Linked DNA regions of Elephas maximus indicus. The protein of the gene in region 2 interacts with the protein of the main gene of each other region in a biochemical or structural test. Links are inferred from orthologs where the notes say so. Each region holds a gene or a part of one and is shown on either strand. Other genes may lie near its edges.

Region 1 (7,736 bases), on a different chromosome or scaffold from region 2:
TGAGAGCACAGGAGATAAGTACAGATGCCGGAGCCTTTGACACATTAGGACTTAGTCGACTGTTACAGTACTGCCTGTTGTTTGTTGTTGGTAGGTGCCATCCAGTCAATTTCAACTCACAGCAACCCTACAGAGCAGAGAAGACCTGTCCCACAGGGTTTCCCAGGCTGTAATCTTCACGGCAGACTGCCAGGTCTTTTTTTCTGTGGAGCCAGCAGGTAGGCTGGAACAACTGACCTTTCAGTTAGCAGCCGAGTGCTCAGCCACTGCGCCACCAGGGCTTCTTAAAGGTACCACCTAGGGTTGGGTTAAGGAGTCCCAATGGCAGTGGTTAAGCACTCAGTTGCTAATTGAAAGGTCAGCAGTTGGAACCCACCAGTCACTCCACAGGAAAAAGATGTGGCAGTCTCCTTCTATAAAGATCATAGCCCTGGAAATCCTCTGGGGCAGTTCTGTCCTATAGAGTTGCTATGAGTCAGAATCAACTCAATGGCAATGGGTTCGGTTTGGTTTTAGAGTAGGGTTAAACCTAATCCAGGACCCAGTTCTACCTTGTGCTCAAAGAAATCTTTAGTCAAGATCAGGCAATGTGAAAACTTAAATGCTTCAATGCCAAGAAATCCGGCATGGTTGTTTATAAACTTAATTTATAGTTAGATTTGTACTTTTCTGTCCCATTTCCCCTGGCCACCACTGGTGTAAAACTAGACACTGCTTCTATGTAATCGTTACTTCTTCCCTTATAATCACACCCCCAGAGAAACTCAAACTGGATCCCCAAAAGTCAGTTTCCAGATCAAAAAAAGGGTTTGAAAGATCTGAAACCAAAATGAACTTATTAACAAAGTTGCAGTAACTCAATAATTAGACAGGAAGTAAGAGCCTGGAACCAAATGAAGGCTTGTCCTGGGCTGGACATAAACATCCCACTCAGTCCACCAACAGGTTCAATCTGGGGCTCCCAAGTGAGGTTCCTGAACTGGAACGTTTCAACACAGGAACTTACTAACTGCTCAGAACATCCTTTGGGAGTATGACAGACAGCGCTATTCACAGCTCACTGATCTGCTTTATCTGACAAGGCTACTTCTGGGGAGAGTACTCAACGGGTCAACCAAAGCCTATCTTACACGTGGAGCTCATCTCACTACAAACGGCTGCTCCACCTTGCCTCACCTGATCAGGGCTGCTGCTGCTTCCCAACTTGAGTCAGCAGCAGTACTCAGGGTCTTGCTGTACCACGAGACAGCTGTGTGCTAGCACCACCAGGGAACCCCCAGCACGCCACTCGGCGAGGAGCAGTGGTTCTCTTCCACACCCACCACCACAGCAGGGCCTAGTCTGAGGGTCGCTACCCTCATTCCCACTTCCAGGTCATTCTTCCTCTTTTCAAGCTAATGCCATCTATCAGCCCACAACTCTTCTGGTTGCAGCATGTTACCTCCTGGTTATCCCCCTTCAGGGATCAAGGTGTCACACTTGACTGGCAACACTCCCCCCTCATCATTTCATCCACCAGCACTTCCTGGGCCAGGAGCTGGGAAGACTGAAGGGAGCACAGCCTGCCCTCAGGAGCGTGAACTTCAGTGAGCGGGGCGCTAAAGGAATGAGCTGCTGTAAAACCTCGGCGGTGATTAACAAAGAGCAGTGGGGAACTGTGGGATGGGCTCACTGCCAGAGCGATGCAAAGGTGGGAGTCACTCAGCACCAAAAACAACCACCCGAACCCACTGCCGTTCAGTCGATTCTGACTCGTGGCAACCCCACACATTAAAAGACTAGAACTGAGCTCCAGTGTTTTCTCAGCTGTGATCTTTATGTAAGCAGATTGCCGATCCTTCCTTCTGCGGTGCCACTGGGTGGATTCAAGCCACCGATCTCTATGTCAGTTGCCAAGTGCAAGCTGTTTGTGTCACCAGGGACTTTACCTAGAACCCCAAAGAGCTCAATAACTGACTTAGAGTGAGCCAAGCTTTGTTTACATTTGTCACCGAGAAATGCCTCAAACAGCCTAATACTCCAAAGTCACGTTGTGTTTTAAGTGCCTTAACTAGTCAAGAAGGCAGCCAGCAAACTCCACCTCCCTCTGTGGGTCATTCCATTCACACAAGACCTCCTCAGGCAGAAAGTCACCCACAAACTGCATCTACGAGGTGTTATCTTTCCATCTTTTAACAAGCGGAGCAGAAGCAAAGGCGTCTATGTGCCTGAGACACCACTTCCAAAGACCACAAGCCCCTTCCGTAGTCCCACCAAAGTCCATCTAGCGCCGCCTCCACCAAGGAGAAAATCCCACTGGATCCGTGGGTGGCTCCAACGGTTTGCGTCCGACGACCAGCCCACCCCACGGTGCAGTGGAAAAAAAGCCTGGTGATTTATCTCTCCAGGGAGGCCAGGCAGGAAAACCCCACGGAGCGGGGCCACGGGCACGAGCGGGGCCACGGGCACCCCCGGGGCCGCCGGGAGTCGGAACTCACTCCGCGGCCGCCCGTCTGAAAGAAGCCCCCCGAGAGAACCCCGGGGCCCGAGGGCGTCCCGGCGGGCCCGCACCTGTCCAGTCTGTGGTCCGCGCGCCTGCGCTCGTGGGCGTCGGGGGACGCGGAGGGGTCGCAGTCCTCGGGCTTCCTGCGCTTCCCGTCGGCTCTGCGCTTCCGCCCCAAGGACCATCTGGCTGCCGAGTGCGGGCTGCGCACAAAGAGACCGCAGTCGGTCAGCGGCCGGCGCGGGCCTCTCCCGGCCTCCCCCACCCCGGGCCCGGCCGCCCGAGGGCGCCCGCCCGCCCGCCCGCCCGCCCGCTTCCGGCCCGGCCCGCCCCGGGGACTCGCAGGCGTTCCGCCCGGCCTCACCTGGCGTCGCCGTACCGGGGAGGGCTTCGCGGCCGGCAGGCCATGGCGAGCGCAGCGGCGGAGGGCCGCGGAGGGCGGGGAGGCGCGCGGGGCCGCGGGGCCGCGACGCAGGAACGCGAGCTGTGGCGGCGAAGGCGGCGAAGCAGCGGCCGGAGAGCGACACCCGTTCCCGCGCCGGCGCTGACAGACTGAGCGCGCGCCCCGCCCCCAACCGCCTTTATGCGGCCCCGGCCCCGCCCCTCGGAGCTCCCGCGCGCGCCGGGCGGGGCGCAACCATCGGGTCCACGGCGACGGGGGGAGCCCAGGTCAGCGGCGCGCGCCTCGGAGGCTGCCTAGGCTTGGGCTGAGTGTCCAGGACCCCGGACGACCAAAACCATTAACTCCGGTCGCCGCCGTCTGAGGAGGCGGGTCGACGCCCTCGTCTGCATGAGATCCGAGGGAAAAGTTGCTCCCCTCGAGTATTGAGGCAGCCGGGCCGCCGCTGGCCCCTCGGAAGCTGATTGGCTGCGCCTTCGCGGGAGGAGGGGGGTATTGGCGGGAGATTCAGACGCGCGCGGCGCAGGGGTCAGAGGGAGCGTCTTCGATTGGTCTCGGCCCGGTGGGGCGCGCCTCCGATAGGTCGCGCTTGCTCGAGGCTAGTCTCCCATTGGCCTGTCCCAGGTGGGGGCGAGCCTTCTCGCTGGCGGGAAACCTGGAACCCGGAAGGCGCGTCTGGGGCGTTTGGTCCTCCCGGCCCCGCGGCGTGATAACCCGGGGAGCTGCTGGGGCTGTAGCCGCCGTCGGGCCCCAAGGCGCGTGGTTCCCGCCCGTTTGGACGGGGGTCTCCCAGACTGCGAATTCCTTCCGGGTGAGGCAAGAGGGGCTGGGATGTGCCCGAGACCTGCACCTGCCTTCGCCCCGGCAGCAGCCGCCCTGGGCCGTCGGGTCGGAAGGGATCAGGCCAGGCCTCTCCGAGGGGGAGGGTGCAGCCGAGCCCCGAGGGAAGCGGAGACCCTGAGCGAGGAGGGCCCCAGGGATGGTCGGGTGCACGGAGGAGGATGTGGGGTGTGAGAATGAAGCTGGGGCGCGGGACTCCCGCCGCGCCAAACCCCCCCCCGCCCCACGGCCTCTCTAGGCAAGGGAGCCTCCGACCTCCCGCCCAGTACTGTGGGGCCTCCTTCCCCCTGCGAACCCCTGCAAGAGATGCCTGCTTCGCCCACGTGCTTCCACAGACTTACCCCAGAACCTTGCCCAAGCTTTAGTGCAGACGTCGGCCAGTGCTAGGCCCTGCTCCTGGGCAGCCCCCTGGCCGCGTGCTGTGCTAGATGGTGTGAACTGTCACAACTACCCAGCTCAGCCTGAACCACTGCCAGACCCCCTCGCTGTAATTTTCCATGCACCTTCCCTCTTCTCCCAGTAGTTTCTCAGGTTCTCTTCCCTCTCGTGCCCCTTAAAAGCTCTAGCTGCCTTCGTACTAATCAGAGCTGAGACTAGCTGCTGGTTTCTGTCCCCTGCTGCAGCCTGAGTAAAGTCTATCCTGCCATTTTAACTACTGTCCGCTGCTTTTCTTTGGCCCTTTACTGGGCTGTGACCTGGGTCTGGATTGGAACCACCACCGATCCAGTGCCCTGAACACTAGTCCTTTGTAGCACAGTAAAGGTAGACTTAAGGAGCCCTGGTGGCACAGTGGTTAAGCGCTTGGCCGCTAACCTAAAGGTGTCGGGTTCAAACCCACCAGCTGCTCTGAGGGAAACAGATGTGGCAGTCTGCTCCCATAAAGGTTAGAAAAAAAAAAAAAAGGGCAAACTAAACCCACTCCCATCGAGTCAATTCTGACTCATGGTGAGTGACCCTATGGGACAAGGTAGAACTGCCCCACAGGGTTTTGAAGGCTGTAATCTTTTTGAAAACAGAGTGCCATATCTTTGTCCCACAGAATGGCTGTTGGTTTTGAACCACTGATCTTTTGGTTAGCAGCCAAATGCTTAACAATTGTACCACTAGGGCTCTATGTCTCCAAAAGCCTGTTGCCATTGAGTCAACTCAGCGACCCTATAGGACAGAGAACCGCCCTGTAGGGTTTCCAAGGCTGTAAATCTTTACAGAAGCAGACTGCCACATCTTTCTCCCACAGAGCAGCTGGTAAGTTCGAACCATCAACCTTTAGGTTAACAGCCGAGTTCTTAACCACTAGGCCACCAAATCTCCTGTGTCTATACACCGTTGCTGGCGAGTCTGACTCAGCAACCCTATAGGACAGAGTAGAACTGCCCCATAGGGTTTCCAAGGAGCACCTGGTGGATTTGAACTGCTGACCTTTTGGTTAGCAGCCTAACTTTTAACATACTGCTATCTATATCACTCAGAAGTGGTTCGGCTTAGGACACACCCTGATATGGTCTGATTAATATAGAAAAGAAAACCCTATTCTCAAATGGGATTACATCTACTGTTACAGAGGTAAGGACTTCAGCACATATTTTGGGGGGACACAATTCAGTCAATACCGGAGGCTATTCTTATTAAAATTGATTCGTTGTGTGCTCAAAATTGCAGACAGCAAAAAGATGAAACTGGTAAATTGTCACCACCAATTAGAAGTTACTCAGGGCTTGAACTAAATACCCAGACAGCCTCTGCTCTGGCCACAAGCTTTGTCAACAGCCTTAAACCAGAGCTTCATGACACATTACCCAAAAATAACTGGCAAAATGCAGAGATAACTGAACTTCAAACTCTAGCCCAACATTATGAGAGAGTATCTCCAAGAAAACAGAAAACACACAACACAAACTCATGGGCTTACAATTAAAAAAGCCTGAAAATTATGACGAGACAAGCTCCTAAGAGGCGGACTCCTATTGATTGGGATACTTATTGCTATTGCAAAGAAAAAGGCCACTGAGCTCAAGACTGTGCAGCCATTAAAGAGGAAAGACTCAAAACTCTCAAGAGGGCTATCAACTCCCCTCAAGGGAAGTAATTATCGAATGCCCTCCGTTACCACTCAACTCCCAAGGAGAAATTACAAGTTGAAGGGCATCCCACCACATTTCTCATTGACACAGGGGCAACTCATCCCAACCAATACCACTTGCTTCCCTCCCTGCTTCCTCTGAGCCATCAACCTTATTTCTGGGAGCTTTGATCATTTACCCCATGATTTACCCTGTCCAAGCCATTTCGATATTTCCATGGGTTTTCTGAAGGCCCGACATAACTTCCTTCTCAACTGTGTGGTGAAATGGGTCTCTTTACGTGGCCTTTTGCCTTGGTTCTTTGGAAAAACAACTCCAGAGACTTTTCCCCTAAACCCTGAGGAGTTACCTTTGCCCTAGTTTTCTACCCCAGAGGGTTTATTACTTTTGTGCAGGTTGACTGACATTTCCTGAGTAATCCTAAACAACTTGACTTTTTTTCGAGCCCTGGGCTGCAGCCTGCCCTGTGATTGGTATGCACTTTGCAGAGATTGGTTAATATACCTACACAAATTAAGTGACTATGAAGTATGCAAATTGGGTAACTATAGCCTACTATGCAAATGAAGTGTCTGGGGCCTATTGAGAGAATTGGTCGGTTTGCCCTCCCCCCACTGGGAGGGGCCATGGGTTGAAATTGACAAGGGGTTGTGTGTGTGTGTGTAGAAAAAAAGAGAGCCAGCCCCTCAGAGATTTTTCAGACAGAAAGCATCATAAAGACAAGAGACAGAAGCAGAAAGGACTGAAGCCACTCCCGAAGTTCACGTTTCAGAAAAAGATTAGACAGACCTATAAAACAAACGATAACACATGAGGAATGTGCGTCTTAGATCAATCAATAGTATGAGACCAAATGGGCAACAGTTGCCCAAAAGCAAAGCTGAGAAGGCAGGAGGGGACAGGAAAACTGGATGAATGGAAATGGGGAATCCGGGTTGGGACAGGGGAGTGTGCTGACATGTGAGGATTCCAAGAAATGTCACAAAACAATTTGTGTATAAATTTTTGAATGAGAAATTAATTTGATCTGTAAACTTTCACCTAAAGCACAATAAAGTAGTAGCAGACAGGAGAAAAGGCAAGAGAGAAGCAGAAAGGAGGCAAGAGACCTAAAAGAGCTGTAACCAGAGCTTCAAACCGGCTCTTTCCTGTTCGAACCCCTGCTGAGAATTTGCATTCCGCCCCAGATATGCTGAATTAGGATCTACGTTTTAACAAGATCCCTGGTGATTCATATGTGTAATAAATTTTGAGAACCACTGCTCTACTAGTGGTTCTGAGAATTGGTCCCAAACCAACAGCATTGGCATCACCTGGAAACTAGTTAGAAATGCAGATCCTCACCAGGGGTTCAATCCAAACAAACCGGTTCGGAGCCCTGGCTGTAACATGGCTGTAACACTGAAGACAGCGACTGGCCCGGAAGGGACCCAGCAGCAGAGTCAGTGGTGACAGATGGCAGGGCCGAGAGGAGCCCTTCAGGGCTGAGGGGCTGAGAGCTGTCCTGCACTGAAGAAGGGAGACTGCCTAGTTTCCTGGTCCTGATCCTGAGTTGCAGCCTGTTGAGCCTGATCCCAAGACGTACCCTGTTCCTTAACAAACCACTTAACTGTAAATATAGTTGTGAGTCCTGTGAACATTGCTGCGAATTGCCAAATCCAAATGGGGTGGGGGCGGGAAGAGTGCTGAGGGGAGGGACAGAGGCCAGTGTGAGAGGAGTGGCACAGTGGCTTGGAGAATGTGGAAATCTGGGATATACTTGGCCTCCGCCTCACAGGAATTGGCTTCGTGCTGATTCTTGTATTTGAAATTATTCATACACCTGTTGTTGCCGTCGAATTGGCTCTCGTTCACAGCACTTCCACGTCCAACAGAATGAAACACTGTCAGGTCCTGCACTGTCTTCATAGTTGTTGGTGCGCTCCAGTCCACT
Region 2 (7,553 bases):
TCACTCGAGACTGTTCTCCAAGGGAGAAGCTTCCCCGGTGGCAGAGGCCCCGTTCTCTCTAAATGGAAGGGATTGGGGAATACTGCTAGCAGAAACAGAGGACCCCTTCAGCCATACCAAGTTCCCTCCTCCAAAGATACTGCTCTTGCTACAGACATAGATTCCACACACAGAAGTCTGCCCCACAAAACTCTGATGCAGCTGGCCAAGAATTCCCCAGCTCAAGTATTTGAGTCTTTCTTGGAAAGTTTACTTCCCTCCTCTCTGTGGCTAGCAGAGCTTCTGGCTATCTCAGCAGGCCTCTTGCAGTCAGGCTAGAGGTGGAAAGGCCTACCTGGTGCAGCATTCGAGGAAAGCTGTACTTCTGGGCTGCCTGCCTGAGACCCAGACGACCTGTGGCCAATTCCACTTGTGTCTTGATCTCATTGCGTTCCAGCTCTCGGGTGTCAGGGGTTGCGTCCACTGTGAGTACCAAGGAGAAGTTTCATCCTAGGTCTCCTAGCCCCAGAGGACACTTACCATAACCATACCCAAAATGTAAGAAGATGGGGCTCACTCAAAGTGGCTGGCTGAATATACTGGAGCTGTAAGGACTCCCTCATTCCCTGAATTATCTCATTTTTTTCTTCTTTCATCTTAACCCATGGTTCTTCACCAAAACAACAACAAAAACTGTTTTCTAATTAGTCTTCCAACTTTAGGGTCTTGGTCTGCTTTCCTTCTTACCAGGTGGGTTGTATCGGTCCCCCAGGCGACCATCCCAGGCACTGTCATGCTCTTCCTCTGAGTCAGAGAGGGCCTGGATGAGTTGCAAATTTGCTGCACCTCCGCCCTGCACCAACCTCACTTGGCCTCTGTTGAGAGAACCCCCATGATAAAGGGGGGAACCCCTTCCCCCAAACCAACCAAATTCAGGGTCAGTGGCTATCCAGTTCTTAGACCACCTGATACTCAAGCCCTCATACTGTCCCCATTTTGAGAGTTTGAGGCTAACTAGACTGTTATTTTCAGTCTTCTATAGGACACAGGGAAACCCTGGTGGCATAGTGGTCAAGGGCTATGGCTGCTAACCAAAAGGTGGGCAGTTTGAATCCACCAGGCGCTCCTTGGAAACTATAGGGCAGTTCTACTCCTTCCTGTAGGGTCTCTATGAGTTGGAATTGACTTGATGGCAATGGGTTTGGTTTTTTTTTTTTAATAGGACACAGGGAGCCCTGGTAGCACAGTGGTAAACAGCTCAGCTGCTAATCAAAAGGATGGCAGTTCAAATCCACCAGCTGCTCCTTGGGAACTCTATGGAGTAGTTCTTCTCTGTCCTATAGGATTACTATGAGTCAGAATCGACTTGAGGGCAACAGGTTTGGTCTTTTGGTTCATACAGGACACAGTAGGAAACAGATTCTCACTCTTGGAGCAGGAAGAGAGAACCACTTCATGCCCTGGAGGTTGACGGATCTAACTAAGCTGACTTCCCAAAGAGCTAAGAATTCTGAGAGCATTTCCTTCTGAGCCTCTGCCTGAGAAATTCAGTATAGAACTCAGCAGTCTGAAGGGATCCCCAAGTTCATCTTATCCCCAGAAGCCAAAAGCACCCCTTTCCTGTCAATTCTTTGTGATCACTCTCTTCAAGTCATTCTTTCTCAAGAACAGGATTAGCGGTAGGTCAATTTAAACCTGTTTTTTCAAGTACACCCACATGGCCTCCTATCACATAACAATGGCTTTGCTAAAGTTCAACTCCCCCCTTCCCAACTCTTGTCCTCACCCCCCACTTCACTCCTTTCCCACCAGGGCCCTTTTTTTTTTTTTTCTACTTACTTAGAAAACAGATTAAATTTGTGTAGTCATAGCCAGAAAGGCTGCCCTGACCAGCCCCCTCAAACACAAGAGTGGGTCCTCTCGGTGGCCCTCCCTAGGCAAGGTAACCACTCTTACTGGGTATGGAGCTGAGTGCCACGGGTGCCTAGCAGGGAAAGGCTGTTCTGCTCACACAGAACAGCTGCCCTGGGCCAACCCTGTTCCCTCTCCTCTGTAACTTTCCTGCCTGAGAGGTGGGATCAAGGAACTGTGGTGGTGCCTGTTGGGGACACACTAGAAAGTAAGTTACCTGCGGAGGAGATAGGCCAGTACCTGGGCCAGATCCACATCTTCATCCTCCTCTTCCTCTTCCTCACTCAGTCGAAGGCCAGCCCCTCTTCGGGGCAAGCCCTCAGAGGGGTCTCCGGACCCGGATCCTGCACTGCTGCTGTTCCGTGATCCCATCTTCTGCTCACAGCATCCTTAGGACCTGTGCAGGGGCTCTTCCTGTCAACTCCTTGGGTTTAGTGAAGCAAAGCTTGCTCTAGAAATATCAGGATCTCCTGAGATCGGGCGGTAACTATTTCTAGGAGAATGACCCTTCCTAGGAACTCAGATCCCTTCTCTTTAGCAAGTGACAACTCCCAAGCCTTCAGGAACACAAATCTTTCCCAATCTTGTGAAGCAAAGAATGCAGAGTAAAGGCTAAGGCGCTACCCTAACTCACCAATGAAAATAATTTGAAGAATTTCTCAGTTTTCTACCCCAAACTCACCTATCAAAGTCCCTGGGGGAAGTGAAGTCTCAGGTAACCACTCCGGCTGTCCAATAAAAACCCCTCGCGGAAGAAAGTGCCGCACTAGCTTATCTCATCTAGCCAATCAGAAGCTTTAGGACTCAGAGACCTCCGACGCCCCCCATACCGACCAATCAGAGCGGTCTCTTGCGAAAGAAGGCAGCAGTGACAGCCAATGAGGTTAGAATTCGGCCGACCGCCCACCTTCCTCTGCCTCACGCCCACGTGGGGTGCCGGGGGTGCGTACATCAAAGAGGAGGCAGGAGGACGCCGGGAAGCACCAGCCGCTGGAGCCAGAGGTTACGGTCCGCGCTAGACCACCCACCAGCCAGGAACGGTCGCAGGACGCAGCTGCCCGAGGCCTTGTTTACACCGACTGCCGCTATATCATCGCCAACCGCTCCTCCGTCACGCGCCTCTTCGTCACGCAACGCCCGGCTTCCCGGCCGGCGGAGCGCCTACGTCATGCGACGCTCCTAGTGGTCCCGCCCCCCCGGCCCGCTAACTGGCCAGTGCAGCATGGTGATTGGCAGGTGGGCGGGAGAAAGAGCTTGAGAGGGCTTAAAAAAAAAGCCGATGCAGTCGAGTCTATTCCGACTCATAGCGACCCTGTAGGACAGTAAAACTGTCCCATAGGGTTTCCAAGGAGCGACTGGTGGATTCGAACTGCCGACCTTTTGGTTAGCAGCTGAGCTCTTAACCATTGCGCCAGGGGGCTGAGGGGAGAAGAAAGCGCAGGATAGAGGAGGGGCGTTTACTCCTGTTGGGAGGAGGTAGTATGGGGGGAACCGGCTGCTTCCTGGATCGGGGACAACGGAACGGGACTTAATGGCATAGAGGCGGGGCTTACAAAAGAACCGGTTGGTGATTCGCTACCGAGACACCTTAGCAAGGGATACAACTTGCTGCCGGTTCCTGAAGTTCCTATCGCTTCGCACTTTTCAGGCAATCCCGAAACTTCCCCTGCTTGAGCCGTTCTTTTTTCGCTGGCTTCAGTCGGCTCTTTCCGAAGCACGAACTCCATATCCCAGCGCGTTTGGGGTGTCTTCACGTCACAGATGTGGACCCCAGGCCTCCACACTCTCCCTCCAGGGTTTAGCTTCCGGAAGCCTCGTTGTCGTGGGGATGGCCCTTTGTAGACGACCCCTAGCCGCTCCCTCATCTTTTTAGGTGATCCCTGGCCCCTCCCCGCGGTCTTTGCAGACTCCCCCTAAAGCACCTGTTGGCCTCTATGAGCCTTTCCGCTTCCCGTGGGTTCCTTTAGTTGCCCCTTAGGCACCTCACTGCACGGATTGCCTAGGTTGTGTGTCCTCGTGGGGCCTCCCGCCCCTGGACTCAGGTCCAGGATGTGCACGACCGCCGCCTCCCATCCTCTTATCCGGGTTTATGAGTAACTGAGCTGAGTCCAAGGCCGGGACTTGCCACGTCTCGGGATCCTTGCCCGGGCTCTGTTGGGGAAGGGAGGGACAGTGACCTCGTTGTGCCCAGCGCAAAGGTCTGGGTCGGTGCTGCACTCCCTGCACTCCCTTAGGCGTGCGCGAGCTTTCATCCGCCCAGAGCGCCCTTTGGTAGTGAGGGGAGTGAGGGCCCTTAGTTCCCTTGGGCCTGTCTTCTGGGGCTCGCCTACCCTAAGATGATGAGGGTGTTTTCTGTCCTTCGGGCGACACCTCCTGGTCCCTAGACCACTAGGCCAGCGCCGGCCGTATGGGCATGCGATCTGTGCAGTCCTACAGAGCTCTTTATTTAGAAGTGCCCCACGCTTGGTTTAATGCTTTGCAGTCGCTGTCTTGAAATTCTTAATATTAACTCTGAACAAACGCCTGCATTTTCATTTTGTGCTGGGGCGCACAAATTATGTAGCCAATTCTGCAGGGCACCCATCCCCTGTTGCCAGATTACTTACTGTCTGTGCCCTATAACCTTAGGATTCCATGGTTTCTGGATTTTCCAGCCTGGACAGTCTGGAATCATTTTCAGAAATAATCTTTCCTTCCTCTTTGCCCTTTAAATTCGGTTCTTTAACCTGTAGATTCTTCAGCTGATTAGTTGAAACTGTTTCACAGTTACCGCCCAAGGTCGAATTTCCATTACTTCATGCCTCTCTCCCTCCGTTGATCTGCAGGAAGTATCCTCTTAATGTAGTGTTTATTCCTTAACCTACAAGTGATTCACTGTTGTTTATTGTTTCAAATACAGATTTTCAACCCTGGTTGTCTGTTTTATACCAACTTCATTTTTTGTTACTTCTGTCGAGTATATATGTCCACAAACGCCTTGCTTGTTTCCACCTCAGCTCCTTCCCAGGAGAATTTCTTATCTGCGAGAACGCGGGTGTCTCCACCAGCCAGACTCCCTCACATCCTTGCACTTTGACCCAGTAGCACCACTTCCAGAATTTGAGCCCAGACCTGCATAAAGATTTATGTTCAGCATAACACCACACACCGGTTGTGTGGAGTCGATTCCAACTCATAGTGATCCTGTAAGACAGAGTAGAACTGCCCCAAAGTTGCCAAGGAGCGCCTGGTAGATTCAAACTGCTGACCTTTTGTTTAGCAGCCATAGCCCTTAAACACTAGCCACCAGGGTTTCCATGTTCAGTATAGCAATTATTAATAACAGTGAAATACTGGAAGCAAAATAGATCTAAATACTCTACAGCATGGTATTAGTTAAATAACCTGTGGTCTACATGGTATAGACAGTAAAATACCATGCCATCATTAAAAACATACTGTAGTCTTCTATTTTTATACCATGGGTTATTGTAAAAACTATGTTGTTAAGTTAAAAAAAAAAAAAGTGGTGGTGAGGACTTCTGGCAACGCCGCCTGGTAGATGCAAAAACAATGGTTTCAATTTTGCATAAAGTCTAAAAATATCCGGGTTCCTTTTATCATTAAACAAATAATAAAATGAAGAAGGCCTTACATTAACCAATGACAAAGGTGTATTGTGAACAAAGGATTAGGAATATAATTTGTGCACCTGAGGGTCAGAAAAAAAAATCTGTTAAACTCACCTCCTTAATAATGAATTGTTGATTGTTTTTCTACCGCTTCTTATTTACTAATCCGGCTTAAACCTGAATAAAATCTTGTTAATTCAAATTGTAACATGGAACTTGTATATTATTGAGTAAAATATTTTAAAGTCACAGTAAATTTTTTTTAAACAATGCTGGGGTTTTATGACCAAAATGAGTCCTCTTTAACATCAAATCAAATGTTAAATAACATAGGATTTCATCTTTGGATCCATTGACTAATTTTTGTATGTAAAAGATTTTTAAGCTTATGAACTCTTGGTTTTGTCACTGTGACCTGTAATTTTCCAAATGTAAAGGCCTTTATATGTGTTCTATCGAGAGAAATAAAGTGGCATTTCTTTAGAAAATTGTAATTACTTAATATGTAATTAAAAGATAATTTTTATAAGCTCTGTTCACCTTCCCTCTCATGGTTTTGAAACTTCTCTGTGGCTTTAAGTGTAGTTGGGGAGAGTAGAGGCTGCCCAAATGAAAAGCACTTTATACAAATTGTCACCAAGCAACATGGCAAGTTTCAAAAGGATCCAGAGATGAAATCCTATGTTATTTTAGAACCAGTTCTGCTAATTGCAGGATCCTTGGTGGCACCGTGGTTAAAGCACTTGGCTGCTAACCAAAAGGTCGCTGATTGAAATCCACCAGCGCTCCTGGGAGAAAGATGTGGCAGCCTGTTTCCATAAAGATTTACAGCCTTGGAAACCCTATGGGGCTGTTCTTCTCTGTCCTATAGGATGCCTGTGAGTCAGAATTGAATCAAAGGCAGTGGCTTTGGTTTTTAATTTTGTTTTTCAGGTAATTGCTAAGTAAATGTCAGCAGGCTGACTTCCTGTTCGACCTGCCTTGGGCTGTTTCCTGTTCATTAACATCTCCACTAGAGGGCGGGCTGGGCTGGAGAAGAGAGAAGAAAAACGAATTTCTCTTTGTCTGGCTAGTCCCTCTCGTGCCAGTCCCCAGCCTGGTGACTGCACAAGGCTTTTGGGACATGGGCAACATGAAGGGAAAGTTTTGCTTTCTGAGTTGACTGATGCCCATGCATGTGTCTACATGGTCTTCTTGTAGCATTCTCTGTGTAGGAGGAAGAGGGAAAGTACTAATTTATCTGGGAATTTAAAGTGTGTTGACTATAAGGCAATTGAGTAATTATGAGATATTCTAATACTCTCGTGTCCCGTGTTGCTAAGAACCAGAGCATTTTGTGTGGAGGACAGGAGTTACAGATGTAATAGAGAAGAGGCTAAAACCCTGTAACCTTGAGTTTGAATAGGGAGTATCAGCATGAACTAATACTTTTATTTATATGTTTTATTTTCCTATCTTTGTCCACTGAAAAGGTCTAGAAACAATGATCAATCCAGTAGCCATGAACACTTCTGGCACTGAGACTGTGGTCTTAAAATGCCATTTCCCACCAGAAGAAACCAGATTTTCTTGGAGAAATGTTTGATTCCAGGTCTGGGGCAGGAAATGTACAAGATTTTTTTTTTTTTATATACCAGATAGCAGGGAAGTCAGCAAAGAATATTATGGTCATGTCAAAAGGACTCAGGAGCCAAGTTCCCATGGCCAAAGATAGGACAATTTGAGCATAATAAGGATAATTTAATACACATTGAAAAACAAAACCAGTTGCCATTGAGTTGATTCTAACTTATGGCAACCCCATGTGTTTCAGAGTACTCCACAGGGTGTTCAATGACGGTGATCTTCCAGAAGTCGGTCAACAGTCCTTTCTTCCAAGGCACCTCTAGGTGGATTCGAACTACTAGCTTCTCGGTTAGTAGCCAAGCACTTAACCGTTTGCGCCACCCAGGGGCTCCTAATAAACATTAAATATGTTCAAATCCATGACTTTGTATATTTGTATAACTAAGTGGTCACTTTTCTTAAAGAATAATAGGAAACCAAATCATT

The links. The genes of interacting proteins can lie anywhere in the genome.
Region 1: the proteins of DCAF11 (region 2) and SLBP form a complex in vitro, tested with the Homo sapiens proteins (2 studies listed by BioGRID, with this or other methods). The link is inferred for Elephas maximus indicus from reciprocal best matches to the Homo sapiens genes DCAF11 and SLBP.

Annotation. Positions count from the first base shown.
Region 1 is NC_064823.1:160,014,666-160,022,401, forward strand, and holds the start of SLBP (histone RNA hairpin-binding protein), read right to left. Parts: upstream 3,022-7,736; 5' UTR 2,891-3,021; coding exon 2,847-2,890; intron 2,686-2,846; coding exon 2,551-2,685; intron 1-2,550. UniProt on the Homo sapiens protein: RNA-binding protein involved in the histone pre-mRNA processing.
Region 2 is NC_064828.1:35,475,878-35,483,430, reverse strand, and holds the start of DCAF11 (DDB1- and CUL4-associated factor 11), read right to left. Parts: upstream 3,063-7,553; 5' UTR 2,919-3,062; exon of another isoform or gene 2,573-2,918; intron 2,342-2,572; exon of another isoform or gene 2,288-2,341; 5' UTR 2,263-2,287; coding exon 2,108-2,262; intron 855-2,107; coding exon 727-854; intron 463-726; coding exon 335-462; intron 59-334; coding exon 1-58. UniProt on the Homo sapiens protein: May function as a substrate receptor for CUL4-DDB1 E3 ubiquitin-protein ligase complex.